2 linked regions of the Kluyveromyces lactis genome follow. The protein of the gene in region 2 interacts with the protein of the main gene of each other region in a pairwise test. Links are inferred from orthologs where the notes say so. Each region holds a gene or a part of one and is shown on either strand. Other genes may lie near its edges.

The links.
Region 1: the proteins of HIS4 (region 2) and FMP48 interact in binary tests that used the Saccharomyces cerevisiae proteins (3 or more experiments, as listed by UniProt). The link is inferred for Kluyveromyces lactis from reciprocal best matches to the Saccharomyces cerevisiae genes HIS4 and FMP48.

What each region holds. Positions count from the first base shown.
Region 1 is NC_006037.1:243,626-246,912, reverse strand, and holds FMP48 (protein kinase FMP48), read right to left. Parts: upstream 1,832-3,287; coding exon 533-1,831; downstream 1-532. Other genes in the region: MCO32 (Mco32p), read left to right, coding at 1-269.
Region 2 is NC_006039.1:108,329-112,709, forward strand, and holds HIS4 (trifunctional histidinol dehydrogenase/phosphoribosyl-AMP cyclohydrolase/phosphoribosyl-ATP diphosphatase), read right to left. Parts: upstream 2,856-4,381; coding exon 468-2,855; downstream 1-467. Other genes in the region: SDH7 (Sdh7p), read right to left, coding at 1-153; BIK1 (Bik1p), read right to left, coding at 3,217-4,381.

The sequences.
Region 1 (3,287 bases), on a different chromosome or scaffold from region 2:
TTAAAAGCCTTGACGTTGAGAAGCATGAAGTAATTATGAGATGGGAAACCCATCCCTTGGCTGCAGATAATCTAGGGAGTATCAAGAAAGCTGAGTCAGAGACGAAAATTTCAGGGATCTTTATCTTTGGTTTGAATGAGAACTGTGATAAGATTACGAGTCATCTAATAGATGATGTCGAAATAATCGAAAAAGATAAAAAGATAGATTTTAGTTCAAAGGTTCAAAATGGTGCAATCGCCTACTTCAAGACATGGTCAGGACCATGATCTCTATGGTTATCGATTCCACAAGTGCACTCTTGTATATACACGTTGCCTTTTCTTTATTTCCAACTTGAGACATATATATTTACGTGTATGGAAGTATGTTAATTTAGATGGGTTTTTTATTATGATTATATCACTAGGGCAATTAACGAAACCTTACTGGAAGGCAAAGCTAGAAAATAGTGTTGAACCTGGTATGAATATTAGATGTCTACTATTTAAAGTTCGTTGTTTGGACACGAAGTGAATTGAATGGTTAGTTGTTACACACTGTTACTTGATAATACGGCAAATGATTCACTGTCAATTGGCCAAGTAGTGTTTGCATCCCAGTCATAGGTCCACGAATTTCTGGAGTTATCTCTTGGGATCCAGTCCTCAAATGAAATACTCTCAGCTGCAGGTTCAAAATTTAAAAATGAGAAAGATGTAGATTTTAATGATGCTGGTGATGGAGGGTACGTTGCACATTGCTTTTGGTTATATTTTTGTGCCGATAATGATGCCGATGAAGATGATGATGATGAAGAGAGTGGAGGGGTGATTTCCGGGCAGCATTTGATCATCTGAACATCGTTGGTGAAATAATCTATGTTAGCATAAAACGTATCAATATTACGGTGAGTTGGTGGACAAAGAAGATGAGCTATCACCAAACGAGAAATAAGTAGCAGAAGATGTTCTGGATGAGATAGATTAGGTACCAATTCAAGCCAATAATCCTGGCTGCCTACAATGGCATGCCTGCTTGACTCCGAGCAATTATTGGAACGATTAGAGCCCTCTAAGAGATTCGGTAGGTAATACTGTTTAACAAATTTCACAGGATTATCATTGAAGACAATGAAGTTGGTATTCTTGGTAGGAGAATCGATGTTGGCAGATTTGAACGGACAAGAACCGAAAACGATATACAGTACTGAAATACCTAGAGACCATAAATCCGCACTGTAAGTGTTATAAGTATCATTATGTGAGAAAGTCTCAGGAGCCAAGTATTTTTCCGTTCCGATACCGTGATCCGAGGCGACTTCGCCAAAGTACGATAGTCCAAAATCAGTTAATTTGATTTTTCCCGTGTTGGTGACCAAAATATTCTCAGGTTTGAAGTCTCTATGGGCGATACCTAATGTATGACAGTATTTCAACGCTGAGCAAAGTTGAAACATCAGCGAGTGAAAATGTAATTTGGGTGGGCTTTTAGATGAAGATTTGCTATTTCGAGCATTTTTTGAATTTTTATCAGTACCTCCTGATTCCTTAATTCGCTTCATATAGTCATATAAATCACCATTATGGCAGTATTCTAACACGAATACGAATTTTTCATGATCCTGATAGAAATCAAGCATAGCGCAGATATTAGGATGTCTATTGCCCAATTTCTTGAGCACTCTGTACTCATTCCTTACCAATTTACTAATTGCTTCTAGTTTAACTGGATCAGCTGGCTTAGAAACAACTTTCATGGCAACATAACTACCAGTCTTGGAATCGTAAGCACGGTATACCGTGCTAAAAGAACCAGTTTGAATCACATCTATCGGCTGATACTTATGCATATCGACTTCGTGGGAATGAATGCTCGGTATGAAAACGTCTCTAATGGGTAGTGGAGCAGGTGACACCTTATAATACTCTTATACTAAGATACGTCAGGTGATCTGGCAACAAAAAGAGCGAACATAAGCCTTGCGTATACGACTATTTGCACCAGGATAACATTGTTACCCAATCTGACTTCCTCGACACATATATATATATATATATATAATATGGCAAAACCTCAAAGCCAGGGAAAACCCCCATCTACAGTAATTGACATGCAGGAACCGTTTAATTGAACCGAATTCAAAGACATACACACGGGAGAGACTTCAAACACTATAACAAAACAAAGGAAGTGAAGGGAAGCACCAGGCACCAAACCCTCTTCTCCCTACTTCCGTACTATCTAAAAAACAGCCGTATAAGCTAGTCTGTGCTTAAGATAAGACACCATATTGGACGAATTCTGATTGCTGAATTATGTCCTAGACAGCATTTGACGTTGATTCCAGTAAATGTAGAAACTGCTTATCAACTGAACACGATGTATAATAATTTATGTTCACCTAAGTATGTGCTACGTTTTTTCTGGCATCGTAGTACAGGGGTTCGGGTCTCGAACACTACCAAATCATACACATATATTGCTCTTGAATGATGATATAATGAGCTGGATCACATTTTCATAAGCACCAATTCGTGCAAATTTTCACACCTTCAAGAATGCAATTAAAAAACATAAGTCTACGCACCATCTCAGTACTTCTACCAGATGGAGTGTGAGTCAGCGGTGAAGAAAAGAACAAGTAGAAGGGTGGAAATATCACTAAGACCAAGTCCAAGCCGTAGCCCAAACGACAGGCCAAACAACCATGCCTCCTCCTACTTATCTAACTAGCAAATTTCGAGCACTGTCCTGGTGATAAATTTTCCACTAGATACATGAGCCCAGGTTTATCTGCAAAGAACTTAATTATCTACGTACCGATAAACGAAATATGGAGACGGGAGGAGTTTAGAGTTTAAATTCAGTACATAAACTTGTTTCAACTTCATTCCGGTTTACATTATATCGTTTCTTTACAGCCGTTGTAATGGCAATAGAAAGGGAAGAAAGGGGAAATCGTTTAGCCTGGACTTAAGCCTATGGAAGAAGAAAAGAGAAAAGCTGTTTTTAACGAATTGGGTCTCTCACCAGGAAAACCTCAATTCAGCAAAACGATCAAGGATGGCTAGATAGTGGCAGAAGGACACTGGAGCTCATCCTTCCGCTACAGCTCCTTTCCCCGTTTCCCATTCGCATTTCCAATTCGCATTTCCAAGCCCGAATGTGTATATTTTTGCTTGTTCATTTCTCGCATCTGCTCAGACATTGCCAACTTCAGGTAAGACAGTTAGTGCTGCTCGTTGAGAGCAAATATAGCAGCTTTTACGTACGGCATTAGTTCTAAGGCGACTATCCGTACGTGT
Region 2 (4,381 bases):
TCTCTGCATCGTTGGTAAGTTTCTGTGTTCTCTGAGGATTCTACGGTACAATTGTAACGGAGGCAAGAGCGGTTTGTGAGGTTTCCTCGAACCTAGCCGTCCCGCTCTAGTGGTCTGTTTGACAGCTTGCCTTAATAGATGGTTAACCTGCATGTTTAATGGGTTGCTGGTACGTTACGCGGAGTCACAGCTCTATATCATCAATTTATTCAACTCTAGCGATGATGATATGCGGTATCAAGCATTTTCATTAAGATTTCCATTGTTTTTGTATTTAGAAGTCACGTGAAGTAATATTTTGATACTTTGAATATGCAAATCTCTGGGGAAGTTTCATGCATTCAACGCGTGCTTCTGGAGTAAGCTTCTAAACAATTCGAATGGTTAAAGTTTATTCATTTCTATACAAACATAGCATTATTTTTCTTTTAGATATTAAATTCAAATCTTAATAAGTTAGTTCTATATTATTCAAAACCTGATGGTAGTAAGCCCAACTTTGACATCCTGATCTTGACTGCGTTTCTGTGAGCATCCAAGCCTTCGACTTTAGCAACACTCATCACAGCATGACCAATATGTTCTAAACCGACTGGGGTGACCACTTGAGAAGTGATAAACTTCTGGAAAGTGGCTGTGTTCACACCACTGTACTGCCTAGCATAACCATAGGTAGGTAATGTATGATTCGTACCACTAGAGTAATCACCACATGATTCTGGAGTATAAGCACCAACAAAAATGGAACCGGCGTGATCCACATCTTTGACATAGTCTTCGGCATTTGAAATTTGTAGAATCAAATGTTCAGGAGCATATTGGTTCGACATCTTGAAGGCTTCTTCGTAAGAATCACATAGAATGATTGAGCTGTGGGCGATACATTTACGAACAATATCAACTCTAGGTAGCTGCATAGCTTGTTCGTGAACAGCATTTTGTAAAGCTTCAATCTTCGAGTCAGATAACGAGACACCTACCAAAATAACTTGAGAGTCAATACCATGCTCAGCCTGTGATAGCAAATCCGATGCAACAAAGTCAACATCAGCTTCTTCATCACAAATGACCAAGACTTCACTTGGACCAGCTGGCATATCGATAGAACATAAAGCTTGAGTGTCGTTTTGAACATACATTTTTGCTGCGGTAACAAACTGGTTACCAGGGCCTAAGATTTTGTCCACTTTAGGAACGGATTCAGTACCGTAGGCCATTGCAGCAATAGCTTGTGCACCACCTGCTAATACGATCTTTGAAGCACCGACTTTACTTGCAACATAAACAACTTCAGGAGAAACTCTACCGTCAGACTTTCTTGGAGGTGATGCGAAAACAATTTCTTTACATCCAGCAACCTGGGCCGGTACACCTAACATAAGCGCAGTACTTGGTAAGATTGCTGTACCACCCGGAATGTATAGACCAACCTTTTCGATAGGTCTAGGGAACCTAGAGCAGACAACACCTGGTTGAGTTTCGACATCTAGGGTTTCACTTTGCATTTGAGCAGCGTGGAACTTTTTTACATTTTCAATAGACAGGTCCAAAGCATCTCTTAGTTCATCAGTCAATCCATCAAGGTATTCTTCTGGATAAGGTGCCTCCAAAACTGGTGTTTCTAATTGGACACCATCGAACTTAGCTGTCAATTCAACTAGCGCTTTGTCACCGTTCTTAATAACGTTTTCAATGATTGGGTTAACCAGGTTCATAATTTCAGCTGTTTTCTGAATTGGTCTTGTGACTGCCTTTTCGACGGCAGCTTTGTCACTAGCGGAAACAACGTTAAGAACAATTTTTCCATCTTCTTCATGGACAGCAACTGGTTCCTTCTTGAGAAACTTAGGTTTGGCGTCACCTTTTCTTCTTGTGATTTTCAAGTGTTTGGTATTTAGGTTACGCTCAACATCCTCTAATGATACGCCATTGGCAACTAGCCTAGCCATAGCAAAGTAAAATAAATCAGCACATTCCCAAGCTATATCTTTTTTATCAACAGCTTCGGTAAGTTCTTCTGCTTCTTCTTTGATCTTGGCAGTTAAAAGGTCCGAATCATTGAATAGTCTTTTGGTGTATGATCCTTCTGGGGCATTAAGGAGTCTTTCCTGTAAAAGCTTCTGTAGACCGTATAACCCATGTCTGAAGTTACCGAAGCAAGATTCGGTTTCCAAGTGACAGAAGGACCCTGAACCACCTTGTCTGACCACAAACTTTAGTGCATCACCATCGCAATCCAACTCAATAGATAATAATTTTTGAACATTCCCAGAAGTGGCACCTTTACGCCAAATTTCGTTACGTGAACGGGAAAAGTAGATCCCAGTTTGTGTTTCGATGGCCAAAGAAACGGACTCTTTATTAGAATATACCAAACCTAGAGAACGTTCATTTTCATCAACGACTAAGGTAGTATATAAACCATCTGGACGATCAGTTTTCATGCCAGAAAGGACAGAATTAGTGAATGTTTCCAAAGAAATTTCAGATGCTTTAACCAATTGAGATTGTTGGATCTCTTGTATTTGACCAAAGCTGAACTGGTATGCACCATCTTTTAATAAGGTCAATCTGATGCTTGGTACCCCAATTTCAACTAAATGAGCAGCATAATCATCAGAATCAATAAACAAGGTTACAACGCCATTATTCAATAGAACAATCAGATCATCATCCTCAAATTTTGCGTCTTTCAATAGAACAGAAATATTTTGACCATGACTATTCTGAACAAATTCCAAAATATCATCTTTAGTCATATCCTTCCCATCAAGTACTAATTGACTGGATAAGTAAAGGTAAGTCTTTTCTTTCAACGCATTGACAGCATTGAACACAGGTACAACAGGCAACATTTCTGGTGCTTTATGACTTCTTGTCTTAGGTGGACAGTCCTGAATGTAACGAAATTTGATAAAGCATGACGACTAACTTATTTTTTTTTCATATTTCATATTTTCATTTTTATATACCAGGAGGCTTGATTTTTGCAGTGGATTGTGAAAATATGATTGAACGCATATGCACTGAATTACATGAGTCATATGATGAAAAAAACACAGGAAAGCCAATGAAAACTCGAAGAAGAAGTCCGGATGCGATTGATGGACTGTAGGTAATTCATTATAAGATGATTCATTATATGATGATGCGCTAAGTATGCTATATATATGATGCAAGTACAACAATGGATATTAAAAGGGACGAATTTTGACTCTAAAAGAATTTGTCGTCGTATGGGCAATCTACTGATTCATGACCGTCTTTTTCGCAAAGAGCACACCACAACGAGCGCCCTGCAGCTGCATTCACTAAAGTTGACTTTACTTCGGCACCTGGATTGTATAACGGCAAGGTTTCAATGTTACTGTCCACAATAAGTGTATTTTCTTCCTGTTTTTTGGATAATTCTTCGACTCGGGATTCGAGCTCCCCAATTTTTTTCCTTGCATCGTCTAATTCCTTGTTGAGAGTATACTCTTTTGTCTCTGTATCATGGGATTTCTGTTGATACTCTGTCATCTCAGTAGTCAAATTTTTATATTCTTTTGATAACGACTGGTTACGGAATTGCAGTTGCTCCTTCTCTTTCTCCCATTGGACCCTATGCAATTCAGCTTGAGTCTTGTGTTGCTGTAGTTCTAGTATCTGTTCCCTTAAATCGTTAATTAAAAGGGCATCACTGTTCGGTTCATCTTGCATAACATAATCATTTTCAAGGGAATTTTTCTTTTCCTTCTGCATAATCTCGGCTAATATGGCAGCATTCCGGTTTATCTCAGATTGGAGCTCGTCTATCACAGTCAAAAGCTGATCATGTTCACTTTCATAAAACTGCTTTTGGCGCTGATGGGACGTTCTTTCATGGTCGAGTTGGTTTTGAAGTAGAACTTTCTCCTTTTCTGTGGTATCCAACTTAGTCTCATATTCATCAATTGCAGCTTGGATCTCCTCGAATACAATTCGTTGATCCTCTACTAGTCTTTTGTATTGAACTAGCTCTGTTTGTAACATTTTTAAGTCCGAGGAAGTAGTTTGCATCGGATCGTCATTCGGTTGAATGACATTTGAAATACTAGTTCGCGACTTGATTTCAGGAAAACTGTTTTGAAGAGGTTCATGATACCCTAAAAAATTTGCGTTAATCCTTACGGGAGTAGGTGATGCAGGTGGTATGGTCATATTTGCCTCAGGGTTAGAAGGTATTGGGATCAAGTTGGCGATCTTTTCCCATTGGATAAAAAGTCCACTTTGAGGGAAAGAAGTCTCAAAATACCGTCTGCCTCTGAAAGTTCCATCGTTTTTTCCATTGCCAGCAAACAAATTGATACCAACAAATGTTCCTTTCTTTGTTTCTACTGAGCCAATGTACCGTATTTGC